Diceros bicornis minor: one gene and its partner. The protein of the gene in region 1 interacts with the protein of each later gene in a pairwise test. Links are inferred from orthologs where the notes say so. Each region holds a gene or a part of one and is shown on either strand. Other genes may lie near its edges.

Region 1 (7,195 bases):
GTTGACAGAGCAGAAGATACTACCAGAGTGGTCTCCAAACTGGACCACACTCATCAATTCTTTACTACACAGCCCCGGGGTCCTAGTCCTTCTGGACTACGGGGATGTATAAATGTCTTGATGTTAGCTGCTTTCTTTTTTCGCATTTCAGTGACTTATACTGTAAATGTTATTTGTGAAGTGAGTCAAATTCACATGTACTAGAAAAATACAAAGTCCTAGGCAGTGCCAATACTTCTGCCATCTCCACTGACTACCATCCACATTCCTCTCAATTCTTTTTATATAAACAAACAGAAACTGAAGAAACCCAACAAACTATTTCTCCTAACTTTATTAAAATGTGTCAAGTCACAAATCCTTTGTAGTAATACCGCTGTAGTAAATTGCAGAAGGATTCCTTTGTCAGCTACTCATTTGACAAGGCTGTAGTTACATTTCATTGCTACATATGAACAGATGTATTTATTCAACAGGTTGTCATTCAAAAGGTCTATTAGTCAGATTTCTTGATCAGTAACCCCAATGTTTATATTAAGCTCCTGCCCTTTCTACGTATTAGCTACAAAGGCTCCCAGCACACAGGAAGCAGTTACTTTTTGTTCTCTTAGTAGGCATGTATCACAATAAACCTCAATTAGATGCTGAGAACACAAGTAACAAAAAGATTCCTGGACACATGTAAAAAGTTATCACAATGTTTAACACTTCCTGGAAGCAACCAATGCAAAAAATACAACCTCCACAAGGGGCCTCTTCATTGACCACGGTGTCTCCCACATTAATAACGAAAGCTGGTGTGTATTGGCAGCAACTGACGCTGAGCTTTGCAACAATTTTTAAGCCATTGACAAGTTTCTTAACAGTAAGAAAAACTTTTTCCATGGACACACTGTCTTCATCCCCCACACAGTTTAGTATTTTGCCCTAGAGGTGTGATTCTAACTATTCAAATAGCAAAAAAAAAAAAATAGTAGTTATTCAAGGATTTAATGGTTGTGATTACATACATCACACAGTGCATGACAGCAGAACTGGAAAAAAAATCATATTCCAAACAAGCAGGAAAACCTCAATTTAAGAGCAAAAAGTATAAACATGCATCACATGCCTGACCACTCTCAGGCATATTTTCTTTCTGCTGCCCCTCCTCCACCCATAAATGCTAACTATTTCTAGAACCCTCAATGATAATTTCCAAAGCTTGCATGAACTCCCATGATACAACGTGACATACGTTTCATGAAGACGTTTTCATGGAGACAACGCTGCCCTATTTCCCCAAACTATAAACTTATTAAAATGGTGAGAACATACAGTCCCAGGAAGTCAGGATTACTAAAACACACCAATGTAGCACAGGTCTCATTTAACAAAAACGAAAATGAACCACACTGGGAAAGCCAAAAAAGTCACTCACTGTCTCTTCAATAGGCAATCAGGCTATTAATTACAATTTGTTTTAGGGAAGTCGATAAAAACACCACGAGGGCATTATGTTACCCAATCTGATAAAGGAGCCTTTAGGAAAAAAGGGGGAGGAAGATGATTGCTTACATGGGTGGCCCGGAGGAAGGGAAAATAAACCATTTAGACTAAAAATAACCCATCATTTCACCCACCATATTTAATTAACAAGCTTGTTTATATTAGCATAAGGTTCTTGTTTGGAAAACAAGAAAACCAAGAGTAAACTTCCCCTAAGTCAACTGTAAATCACATAGGTACTAAAACTGTTCACCTTGGTGTCTGCACAGTCCAAGGTTTTATGTAAACTCCAGAGACTGAGAAAATCTAGTTTTTAACTAGGTTCCAACACTTGTCATTTGTAATCACCAAATTACTTTAGAGACTATTATTAGAAAACCTAGCAAGAGGAGCATTTTTCAAGAGCCATCACAACCCAAATTTTACATGAAACACACCATTTTCACAACCTGAATTTAATCTCGGTTGCCACTGCAAAGTGAAGCCTGTTTCAGCAAATTAGGAACTTCCAAAAATACTGAACATGTTAACACATGCATGGCTTCCCTCGAGCTGCCATTTAAGATTAATAATTTCACTGGAATAAAAGTCTGCTTCTGTTCAAAAACTGACATCGGTTGCAAAGAGGAAGTTACCGAGAAACCACCCTTCACAACGTGGCCTTTACACTGTCAGAAAATAATGTGACTGTGCGACCCAAAACTTACCAGGAAGCTGGCAATAACTTTACCAATTCTACACTTCTGAACCCAACTTCAAAGAGGTTCTATCAAATGCCTCCTTAAGACGGTAAAAAGCACTAAGTTGGAAATAAACACGCCCGGGAGTGCGGCCCCGCGGCCGCGCGCCCCTCCCCCGCCGGCGCCCCCGCCCGGCCCGCGCGGCCCCAACAGCCGCCCGCAGCCCCCTGCACGCCGGCCGGGGTCGCCGCGCCCGGGCCGGGGACGCGCCCGCGGAGGGGAGCCTGTTTCCATTGCTGCCTGAGGTTTCACAGAATAACATGCACCGAAAAGAGCCCTCTCCTCCGCTAAAAATAGGCTATAAAGGAGTCGGCCTCATGATGGCTCCTTGATTCAATTTGCTGCAAATTCTTCCCTGAAAGCCTCCCCCCACATATACACACACGGAAAAAGGGGGTGTAAATGCACGAAGGGTGGAAGAAGGGAAGAAGGCCGAGGTGCACATTTTCGGGGACCACAACATCCTAAGGGTGAGGATCCCCCGAGACCAAAAAAGGGTAGGGGGTGGGCAGGCACGTGAGCATTTCAAAGAAGCCCGAGAGAGGAAAAGGGGGGGTGGAGTACCCCAAACGCCTTCCCTTCCTTCCCCTCCCCCACCCCAGCCCCAGCTCTCCAAAGGGCCAAGTCGAAAAATGCAGGTTCCACTGGCGCCCATCCCCCCGCGGCCCGGCGCCCCCCGGCTGCCGCCGCAGCCTGCGCCCCCCGCCCCGGCCCGCGGCAGCCCCCACCCCGGGGTCCGGCCCCCAGCGCTTACCTGGAAACGGTGGCCTCCGACGCCGCTCCCCCCTCCCGGGAATGGAGGCACAAGGAAATTCCCCTCCTCGCCGCCGCCGCCGCCTCCTCCAACCACCCCCAAAATAACCCCTCCGGGGGGTGAGAGGCAATTATAACCCCGGCGAGCGGAGGGCGCGGGGGATGGGCGCCGGGCGGGCGGGGGCGGGGAGCGCGGCGCGGGTCCCCAGGTGGCGAGCGGAGGTGCTCCCGCCGCGGGGGGAGGGGCGGGGGCGCACGCGGCCGGCGGCGGGGGGAGGCGGCGCGCGGGGGAAGGGCGCGAGCGGGGAGAGGAATTGAGGCAGAAGGTAAAAGCTGTTACTAAGGGAAAGAGCCAAACGGTTCGGAGCAGCCAACGGCTCAGACACTCAACACTGGGGAGAGAGGAATGGGGACCAGCCAGGCACAAATGAGCTCGCGAGGCCCGCGGCGGCGACGGCCGCGCAGCAAAACAAACCCGAGCGGCCTGCGCCGGGCGGGCGCGCGGGGGAGGGGCCGGCGGGGGAGGGGCGCGCGGCCGCGGGGAGGCGGCGGCGCGGCGGGGGGGGCTCCGCCGGCCTCGCTCCTCTCCCTGCGCCCGCCGCGGCGGCGCGGGGGGCTGGGCGGGTGCGGCGCAGGCTTTTAAAAATAAAGAAAGACCCGCAGGCGCTTCGCGGCGCCGCCGGGGCACTGGCCGCCCCGCCCCCACCGCCGCGCGGCCGGGTGCGGAGTCGTTTGGGTGTGGGCCGCGCGGCCCGCTGGGGGCGGGGCGGTCGGCGGGGCTCCTGCGGGTCCGGGGGCCGCCAGTCCCCGCGGGCACCCCGGCGGCGCGGCGGGGCCGGCTGGGCACACCCCCGCGGTGGGCATGTGTGGAAGCGCGGCGCAGGCATCATATGGACCTGTGTTTGTACAAAGCTCTGCACACACCTTTGTGTGCATAAATACATATGTTTCTCGGAAGCGTACCTGGAGAGGTGCTTTATCTGTAAGCAGCGATTTTCACAATGTAATCCGGAGCACGGGATCTGGAGAGAAAACACACACACGCAAGAAAAGGGTTTTGATGCTAAACACAAAGCTGTAATTGAAGTGTTTATGCCCAAATGTACTGTGAATCAAACATATGGTGGTATTTATCGTCTGGTGGGTCTGCTTGAAAGGTTTGGTCGATCAGTTCTCATTTCACAAAAATAAAATAATGTAACTAAATGTTTACTAAATATATACCTCTACGGCAGCATCGACAGTAGAAGTTTATCCACTTTGTGTACTTTTTGCATGTGTGTAGCACATCAAGGCAGTTTGTAAAGTATAACTTAGATGAGTGATAATGTGTCAATATAATGAAGGAAGGGAGGGCAGAGGGGTGTTTTAAAAAAGGGATGCACCTCACAGTTCTTAAAACGAATGTGTTTATCTTTCCGAGGCCCTCAGAAAGCAGGGGTTGGGAGTCTTAGATCTTTGTATAAGCCTAGAACATAAAAAGCAGCTGTCCTTTTAAAGATTTGACCTAAAAGAGAACTTTTTTGTTGTTATTTTCAGTTATTGGTGAATTCAAAGTACAATAATATTTTTTGCAGCCTTTTTAGATGAGGGGTTCTGTTTTCATGCTTTCATCACAATATTTGGAAATAGACGTAGTCACTATTTTAAAGCAATAGTCTTTTCCTCTCAATATCAGAGACCTAAATTTTCACACCAAAAAAAAGTTCATTCGAAGTATCTTTCACACATCTGGACTCCGGGTGGCCTAATAAGCTCAGTGACTAGACAGGTGCTTTTTTGGCCAAGGTCAAAGGCTATTTCCCCTGATGAGCCCTTACTTGGCGGGGAGGGGGAGCAGCCAGAAGCCTTTCCTGAGAGGGAGCAGGAAAACCATCAGAGGAAAGGGAGTGGGATTGGAAACTCCCTCACAACCACCAGAAGAGAGTTCACAGCATCTCAGTAGTTCGTCCTCAGAGCTATTTTAATATATGAAAGAGGGAATGTTAGATTAAACAATGTCACCCAATGGGAATTTAGATAACTGCCGGTTTCCAAAACACTGTGTTGAGTGTTCGGGCAAACAGCACAAAGAGAGCAAGTTTTGCATTTCAGTGACGTTCTAAGCTAAGGCTTACTGCAGAGCTCGCACCTTTGCAAAGACCATTTCCGAAGTGATGAGGGTATAGTACCTTCCTATTTTTTTTAAATGTTTTTAAGTATTGATTAATGACATATGTATGTTACTAAACATAATCTTCTCTTCAATAAGCAAACTATCTCAGTACAATTAGGCTTCATTATCTGAGCCACCCAGTGAGACAAATCGATTGGCCTAGCTTGTTTTTGGCCACCACACATGGGTCTTCTCAGCACCGGCTGCTGTAAAATCAAACCACTTTTCCAGTGAATGAGGATTTCCAAACTACACCGACCCTAGTTAATAGGGTCATCTCCAAACTTGGGGCCCCCAACTTATCATCCCTCAAAATGATCTCTATCACTCCATCTCCAAGGGAGAGCCCATCCTCCTTCAGGTTCATAGGGTCCAGGGCTTCCACCCTGAAGTTCTTATACCCTACACCAAGCTGCCTCCCGTCCTAGCAGGAGTTCTTGTTATCGTAATGATAATCATAATCCATGCGTTTGTTTACATCCTTGTAGTTATAAGATGTTTCTGTGCATAAATTACTTCATTTAAATACCATGATAAAAATCACCAAAGGTGGGGAGCTTTGCCGTAAACTAGTTCCAGTAAAATGCACCTCATCCGCCATGCTCGCTAAAGATAGACTTGAAGTACCTTTGGACAAAAAAAGCACTAAATGTGGAAAAGCCTTGATTCTCCCAACCAAGGGGTATTAAGTGAGATCATATTTTGATCACTTCAATTTCTATATTCTGGAAACTCTGAAATGACAGCGTGGCTGCAACATGAAATCCTCAGATAGATGAGCCACCATACAAAGTTCACATGTATTGCTACCCCACCCTCTAGCCATTCCAACTTATCTAGTATACAAGATCAGAGGCCTCACTTTATACAATTCAAGCAATAATTAGACACAGGAGTAATGTAAGGACAAAGTTAATTATTGTTACCAGTTTTCAGTGCTTTGTCCTAATCTAAAAGCTGTCCTTATGCTTTGAATATAAATGTTAATATGTTTCTAGAAAGGAGAAATTACTCTGTTACTAAGAAATTTTAAAGCAGAGGCACATTAAGAAAGTTCTCTTGAACTTTCTAGCTAATTACTCAACAAAGAGAAACCTCATACCAGTAACTGTTACCAGACTTTATATATATATTATAAAATGACTAAACAAATCTTGACTTGTTTTATTTCAGTAATATTACACCCAGGGGGTGTGGTATGGCAAGATAGCCTATACTTTTGCAACTTTCATCACTCGGGAAATAGAACATTTTAAAGTTAAGGTGGCTTAATCCCAGGTTATAGGATCTCATTACTATATATATTTTTAAAGCCACCATGATGTTTTATGTTGTTTGCATTAGCTGATCTATGTAATTAAAATGTTCAAAACCAACTTAAAAGCATGAAAAAGATATTTGATACCAAAAATATTATCCCGACACTATAACTCTTTGTATATTCTTTACTCACCCAGGAACTCAGTGGCTTTACGTCTGCAGTGTGTGCCCCCAAGCGTCTTGCTGATACCATGTGATACGTTTCTGTTTCGTTTTGACTCAACTTGTGCAATTCTTTGTCTGTGGTTCTTCCAGCTATCAGCTTTTGCCATCCGGACTGATGCAGATCTCGGCCACACATCTTAAGATCTCAGCACATTGAGATCTCCTTTTCTCCCTCTGTGCTTAGTGTGTGACTTCTGACCTTTCCTCATCAGTGTGAACCTTGTCACAGTTTTCCATGACTCTGTGACCCGATTTCATTACCACAATGAACTTTACTTGGGAGTTTTCATTTAAATTACAAAAGCAACACACAACCATCTTACAAGTATTTATGCCTTTCAGATAATGGAAATAGCAGGTTGGATTCTGCCTTTGTGATTCAGTCAGCACAGAAAACCACCCACACACAGAGCATAGTGCTGTACCAAGTACTTACTTCTATTGACCAGCCGTGTGCTTCCTCAGGGCAGCACTCAAGGCCTCGCATTATGTTGATAGTTTTGCTATTCATTCATTCAACAAACGTTTATTGAATGCTTAGTGTGCCAGGCACTGTTCAAGAAACTGTTTACCG
Region 2 (7,547 bases), on another chromosome or scaffold:
CTTCCTCACCTAAAAAAAAAAATTTTTTTTGAGACATTGGACATTTGAGTGAAGAACTGAAGAGAGGGAGATGCCAGGGAGGTAAGGGTTAGGGGCGGTGGGAATAGGCAGGCCTGGTGGGTTGGAGGATTGGTAAGGGGAGGGGGAGGAGGAGGTGATTGGGGGCAGAGTGCCTGGGGTGGGGGTGGGGGGCATTCACGTAGGCCACTGGAGACCTGGGGCTCTAACTCTGAAAGATACAGGACAGTGGAAGGCTCTGAGCAGAGGCTGCTGCAGCTGTCTAGGTGACGGGAGGCCCTGGCTCACCTGTCAGGTGGAGATAAGAGTGGTACCTGGCTCTCAGGTTGCTGAGTGAAGGCCCAGCAACTCCTCCTCCTGATTCCCCAGCCAGGACCTGTGGAGACAAGAAGCATCGGCACAGCCGTGCCTTTGAGGACGGCACAGGTACAGGTGAGGTGGACGTGGGTGCAGTTGTTGGAAGAGCTCAGATTTTCGAGTCGTTCCCCACTCCTAAGGTTCTAGAAAGGTCTGAGGATGTCAGGTGCCCGTGGGTGGCTGGCAGGGGTGTGAGTAACAGCTTATTTTGCCATCTGGAAGTTGGAGAGAATACCTCCTCTGCCTCCCACGCGAGGCAGCTGGGCTGAGACCTGTTACAAAGATGCTAGAACACTCTGATACCATCTGAGGCATTCAGCTATGGCTTGCACGGTGGACACACCCACTGGGGACAGGGCCACCCTTGGATACTTAACGCCTACAGGAAGATAGGAGGCGAGATTTTTAGAGCAGGCCAGGGCCAAACTGTGGTCTATAGGCATCTGCCATTTCAGTGATTAGGTTTCATTCAACCTTCCAGTTCTTTGTTTACTAATTAGTAGGACAAAACCTACACTTGGGTATGCTGCCACCAAGTGCTGGTTTGTGCTTCTGTCATGTGCATGTGGTCCAAAAATTAAACTTGTATCACAGATGTGTCTCACCAGAGAAAAACGGGATTTCTCTTATCAAAACTGTAACTGTAAACAACCTCATATAAACATTATAGTTTAAAACAATCAGATAGAAAATGCATCTAGAACAAGTTTAAAATATTTATATACACAAATAAACACTTGGGTATACTTCTTGCTAATGCTCAATGATCAGCAATTATAATTTAAGCAAGGTCTTCCCCCCCGGCTTTTGTTGTTGTTGTTCCAGAATAAAAAGAGTTTTGTTATTTTTCCTTTATGATTATAAAGGTGATACACGAAGTGGAATGGCTGGATCAAACAGGCTCTACCTCTTAAAATTAAAACGATAATGCCAAATTTTCCTCCCCAGACATTGGGAAATCATGCCTTTTAAAAAGCCATCTTGGGCCGGCCCCGTGGCTTAGCGGTTAAGTGCACACGCTCCGCTGCTGGCAACCCGGGGTTCGGATCCCGGGCGCGCACCGCTTCTCCGGCCATGCTGGGGCCGCGTCCCACATACAGCAACTGGAAGGATATGCAGCTATGACATACAACTATCTACTGTGGTTTTGGGGGGAAAAAATAAATAAATAAAATCTTTAAAGATCAAATTTCATTAAAAAAAAAAAAAAGCCGTCTAGAACCCCATCCTCAAGCTACAATCCATTTACTTAGTCCCAAGAAACTCTCCCTTCAAAAGCAGGTTTCACAGCTGTCAGGATTTGGGTATTTTAATTTCATGATTCTTTCTTGTGAATATATATATTCACAGTTATATGTAACTACAGCTCTATACATCTTCTTGCCCAGTTTTCCTCCAAAGGTATTCCCCATAGATTTTATTTCCTTAAGAGCACTCTTTCCTCCTTTCCACAAGGCAAATGAAAATACGCCTGTCGCTAGGGCCTCACACTTGTCTTTAAAAGCCCCCACCCCACCCAGCCCCCTGATTTCTAGCTACTGGCAATCATTCTTCAAAAGTTAAATACAGGGGCCAGCCCGGTGGCATAGCAGTTAAGTGCATGCGTTCCACTTCGGCGGCCCAGGGTTCGCAGGTTCGGACACCGGGTGCGCACCGATGCACCGCCTGTCAAGCCATGCTGTGGTAGCATCCCATATAAAGTAGAGGAGAATGGGCACGGATGTTAGCCCAGGGCCAATCTTCCTCAGCAAAAAAAAAAAAAAAAAAAGAGGAGGATTGGCAACAGATGTTAGCTCAGGGCTAATCTTCCTCACACACACAAAAAAAAGTTAAATACAGTTACTTCCTGGTCTACTGTTTCAGAGCTTCCAGGTTGTTTTTTTAATTGATATTCATTGTAACCCCACTATGTGGCCCCTGGGAAGCTACAAGGGCAGCTTGGACATGGCAGGGCTTTAACCCTGGCATTGAAACAAGGATTTTAGTGCTAATGGCAGCAGTAAAGTAAAACAATCCAGAAGTGCTTCAGGTAATCATTTTAAGTTTCCCTCAAACCAACTCCAGAGTTAACAGTGGAATTGCTCTGATTTTCACACTTTGTGACTGTGCCTCTCAGAAGTACACACATCCATATAAATATCTGAAACAGACGGTTCAACAAATACCACTTATCTTTACTTCATGGGCAAAGGCAGCAATGTTTTCTGTTCCGTTCATTCTATTTAAATTTTGCTCATGCTACTAGGTTGAACCATACGAAACTGGTATCTTTGTAGTCAAAACGGTCGAATATGGGTGATTTCATATGGTTCAACGTATTTGTGACACCAAAGTAATTTCACAATCTACCTAATGGGCTGCATCCTATAGTTTGAAAAACATTCTTTAGTGGGTTATTGTTATTTTAAAATTGAAATTCGCCTTTTTTACTTAACATGGCACGGACATCTTTCCATGCAGGTGCATTAACACTCCTCCTCACCTTTCTCCAAGCTTCATGGAATTCACCACACATGCATACCCCAAGCAGGGTAACTGATCCCCACTGAAGGCACTTCAATTTTTTCCAGTTTCTTGCTATTCCACACCATGCCACAGAGAACTTCCTTGTCATAAATGTTCACTTGCTGGTGCTAGAATTTCTGTAGCAGAGACTCATGGAGATAGGACGGCAGGCACACTGTGATCTCAGTTGTGTCTTAAAGCCTTTGAATAGGAGTTACGCCCACTTTGTTCCCTTGGGTGTGCTTGGTGGAGGGTAAATAGTGCTGTCCCAGGGGGCCCAGCCAGGCACCCCGTTCTGTCCAGCCCTCCCTTGTCCACAACCTTCTTCTGCAGGATGGGAAGGTCCAGACCACTCCAGATCTCTCCCTCTCCAGACCAACACCATGGAGGGACCAGGAAACGCAGTGCACTTGACTGTCGACCAGACCTGAGTTTAAATCGCTGCCCAAGCTCCTTAAACTCTGACTCCACTATCACATCTACAAAAAGGAAATAAACCTCTCAGGGTTGCCAGGGGGATGAAGTAGAAAGCACGGAGTGCTTTGTAAACAACTACACAGAAGTTAGCCGTTATCTTCAGCCGGTGCCTGACTGTTCTTTCCCACGCATCAGACAAAGCCTACTCTGGGCTGCCTACTCATATTTATCTTGTAGAGGGCTGGAAGGAGGGCTCAAAACAAGACAACAAAGCTCACCCTTCTGAGTTTACAATCTGCCTAGTCCCTTGCCTCAGTTTCCTCACTTTTTCTGGACTTGAGCGCCAAGGTAAAGAACCAAACTCTTGGACAACGTCATTCATTCAACAACAAACCACCTACTATATGCCAGTCGCTGTGCTAAGCGCCCGGTGAGCCTCAATTTTCTCAGTGGCAAAATGAATCGTGCTTCTCAACAGAGAAACGATGGGCATCTCGGGCAGGCCAATTCTTTGTGCGGGTCTGTCCTCTGCCCTCTAAAGGACAGGGACTCTACCTTGCCATTGGGACAACCCAATGACGCCCCTGCACAAACGGCCCCTGGGAGGCATTTTCGCCCTCGATGGAGAACCCTCGGCCCACCGTCTCCCATCTGAGGAGCCAGGGAAAGGGGGAGGCCCAAGATGCGCAGGATCTGGACCACGTTTCCGGGGCACAGAGCCCTATGCTGGCCCCAGGATGAGCTGGTCAACATCCTTGGGGCTCTCGGTTCTGACTCCTGAGTTAGAATTTCTCTCTTTGCAGGCAAGATACAACCCAGGAAACTTCAGGTTTCCATTCCCGGTTGAGTCTGGGATCCTGCTGCGGAGGAATGGCGGTGCCCTCGTCCCCTAAGCCCTCGGGATGTGAAGGGTTAACGCAGGTGGCCGCGCAGAAGCCCCCAGCACCGCTAGAGGGACCGCCGCAGCGGCACCGCCGGGCGACTTCGCGGTCACGTGGGGGAGAGGGCGGGACCAAGCAAGAGGCCGACCAATCGGCTGAGCTGCCGGTGGGAGTGCTAGCCAATAGGAGCAAGGAGAGGGGTCCCGGGACTAGAAAGAAACGGCGGCCGAGAGGGGGCTACCGCGACCATGGGGCTTCTGACCATTCTGAAGAAGATGAAGCAGAAAGAGCGGGAGCTGCGGTTGCTGATGCTGTATCCTCCCGGACGCCGCAGCCGCGGGGGTAGCGAGGGCCCCGCCGGGCGGGCGGTGCCAGGCGCCCCCTACCGGGCGCGGGGGCCACGGCCGGCCGGCCCGTACCAACTGCCCAGTGTGCGTCACGCACGTGGGCCCTACCAACCGCTCCTGGCGGGGGGCCGGAAGGGGGCCGTACCACTGGCTCGGGCGGGGGGTCTCCGTTCCCAAGGCCAAGGGTGTGGGCCTGAAGGCCCGCAGTGTAGGGGGGAGGTGGGGCCCGGAGGTGACCCGGACGCCACTGCCCGTCCGTCTGGCCCGAGGAGGGGCCGGTATCCTCCCCGGCTCTGACCTCCTCCCCTCTGTCTGAGGGGGGCCAAGCCCGGCCCCGCCCTCAAGGTCGGAATCCCTGGGGCGTTTGGAACCCGCCCTCCGCCCGGGGGCAGGCGGGTGTGGACTCCGCGGGTCGTTTCGACCGTGGATCGAACTGTCCCTCTCATTGCTGCCGCTCGGCCCGTCGGTGTCCCCGCGGCTGGCGGCCTGTAGGCCCGGGGCCCCGCCGACCTTCTGAGTCCCATTACCAGGCGTCCGCACTGGTTCGCCCTACTCTGTGAGGGACCCGTGGGGGCTCTGCGATCTGAGAGCTGGGCGGGCCTGACCCCGAGCTCCCCTAGCAGGGGAAGGGAGACATTTATGTGCGCAAATAAGTTAAAATAATAGTCACATCGTGTCTTAAAGAGCTCCCAGAAAGGCACAGAATTCACTTATCCGATCAATATTGAGCGCTTACTATGTGCTAGGCGCTGCCCTAGGTGCTGGGGGAAACAGCAAAATAAAAAAATCCTACCTTCATGGACGTTCTATGATGCTGGGGGGAGAAAGATATTAACAAAGCAAATGAGTAAAATATATAGTATGTATGGAATAGAATGCAGTCTAAATAAGCTGGTTAAAGAAGGCCACATTGAGTAAGTGACAGTTGATTAAAACAGAGAGGTGAGGGATGAACCATGTAGGTATGTGGGGAAGATTGTTTAAGCAAAGGGAACAGCACAGGCAAAGGCCTCGAAGGAGGAGCTCAACTGGTGTGTTCAAAGGGACGTCAAGGAGGGCAATGTGGCTGGAGAGAATGGGCAAGGAGAATACTAGAAGATTAGGACAGAGAGGTGGTGGAAGAACCACCTCCTGTAGGGCCTTGTGGTTCATGGCTTTTTCTTTAAGTGCAGTGCAGAGGGGAGGTGTGATCTGAGACCAGCTAGGCCCTTGCTCTAACCCAGGAGAGACAGCCTGGTGGCTTGGGCCAGGATGGAAGCAGTGAGGTGATGGAAGCTGGGGGACATTTTGACAGTAGGGCCCCCAGGAATTACTGCTGGATTGGCTGGGAGTGTGAGAGGGAGAATGAAATCAAGCCTGACTCCTAGGGTTCTGCCCTGAGCAATTAGAAAAAGAGGAGCCACTTGCTGAGATGGCTCCTCTGAGACATCCTAGAAATGTCAGATAGGCAGCTGGATGTAGGGACTGATGTCCAGGGGAGCAGCTGGGTGGGACGTATAAATTTGGGTGTCATCAGCATAAAGATGGTGTATGAAGCCGTGATCCTGGGTGAGAGCACTGAGGATGAGTGTGGACAGAGAAGGGAACCCAGGCTTACCTGGATCAAGAGGTCAGGGAGATGAGGATGGGTGATTTGGGAGGCAGGTGTACAGGCAAGGGCATGTCCTGGAGCAGAGGAAGGGGCAGGCCGCTGTCTCACGTGCTGCTGATGGAGCAGGAAGACGAGGGGTGAGGACTGCCCGGCCACGGGAGGGCTACGTGCGGGTCTTTAGGGGCTGACCTCAGTGAGAGCAATTTCCAGGAAGCAGTGGGAGCCTCACGGGTTCAAGAAAGGGCAAGAGGACAGAAATTGAGAGGGCGAGTATGGACAACGGTTTTTTGTTTTTTTTTTATAATTTTATTTATTTATTTATTTTTCTCCCCAAAGCCCCAGTAGATAGTTGTATGTCATAGCTGCACATCCTTCTAGTTGCTGTATGTGGGACGCGGCCTCAGCATGGCCAGACAAGCGGTGCGCCGGTGTGCGCCTGGGATCCGAACCCAGGCCGCCAGCAGCGGAGCGCGCACACTTAACCACGGGGCCAGCCCTGGACAACGGTTTTGAAGAGATTTGATATAAGGGGAAGGAAATAGAGGAATAAGTAGGGGGGAGAGGGATCAAGGGAGGGTATTGTTTGCTTCTTCTAAGGTGGAGAGACCCCAGCTTCTCAGCTGATGGGAATGATCCAGCAGAGAAGGAAACGTGGATGATGGGGTTGGGGGTGAGGAGATAATCTGGGGCTGAGGCTGGGTCTCATGAGAGGTTCTCTCTCACCCCCATTTCACTGGTTTGAGTCACTCACCCAGGTCAAGTGAGCAGAAAGGCTGCAGAGGCCAGGGCCTGGGTCCCCCTCCCAGCTGCAAGCCCCCTTAAGTGTTGGAAGGAAAGAGGAGGTGGTTCTCTCCAGCTGGTGAACTTACCCATTCGTTTGCACACTCATTCAGCAGCAAAGGGTTTGGAATATTCCAGAAACAGGTGACGGTGGCTGCCACCAGATACTTGGTTGTGCTGTTCCCTCTGCCTAGAATGCTCTTCCCTCAGTCCTTCAAAAAGCTGGCTTCTTGTAGTTTGCCTCAGCTCAAGACCCTCAGAGAGGTGCCCGAGCTAAAGGAAGCTCCCTGATGGCCGTCTCCAAAAGCTTCTTCGTTGTATCTCTGAAGTTTCCCCAGATCCAACAGGACCTGTTTCCCATTTGTTTGCACTCTACCAACTGTCTCTGCACGAGAGTGTAAGCTGCACAAGGGAGAGGGCTTTTACTCTGGGTTTCCCCTGCACAGAAGAGGGCCTTGCATATAGGAGATATTCAATAAATATTGTGAAATGAATTAAGGAGCCTTTGGTCAGGAGGAGATGATAAGATATTTATTTCTTGATACTTTCACATTTATCATGGTTCACATTTATCATGGGCCGATTGTGGGTCAGGCATGTGCTCAACTCATTTTGATACGTGGTGGGAAAAGATTTGTCCCCTAAAGACAG

What was found.
Region 2: the proteins of TBL1XR1 (region 1) and ARL2 interact in binary tests that used the Homo sapiens proteins (3 or more experiments, as listed by UniProt). The two-hybrid records come from large-scale screens. The link is inferred for Diceros bicornis minor from reciprocal best matches to the Homo sapiens genes TBL1XR1 and ARL2.

The regions. Positions count from the first base shown.
Region 1 is NC_080754.1:45,361,309-45,368,503, reverse strand, and holds the start of TBL1XR1 (F-box-like/WD repeat-containing protein TBL1XR1), read right to left. Parts: upstream 3,026-7,195; 5' UTR 2,983-3,025; intron 1-2,982. UniProt on the Homo sapiens protein: F-box-like protein involved in the recruitment of the ubiquitin/19S proteasome complex to nuclear receptor-regulated transcription units. Plays an essential role in transcription activation mediated by nuclear receptors.
Region 2 is NC_080770.1:8,120,355-8,127,901, reverse strand, and holds the start of ARL2 (ADP-ribosylation factor-like protein 2), read left to right. Parts: upstream 1-4,375; 5' UTR 4,376-4,426; coding exon 4,427-4,491; intron 4,492-7,547. Other genes in the region: BATF2 (basic leucine zipper transcriptional factor ATF-like 2), read right to left, coding at 307-413. UniProt on the Homo sapiens protein: Small GTP-binding protein which cycles between an inactive GDP-bound and an active GTP-bound form, and the rate of cycling is regulated by guanine nucleotide exchange factors (GEF) and GTPase-activating proteins (GAP).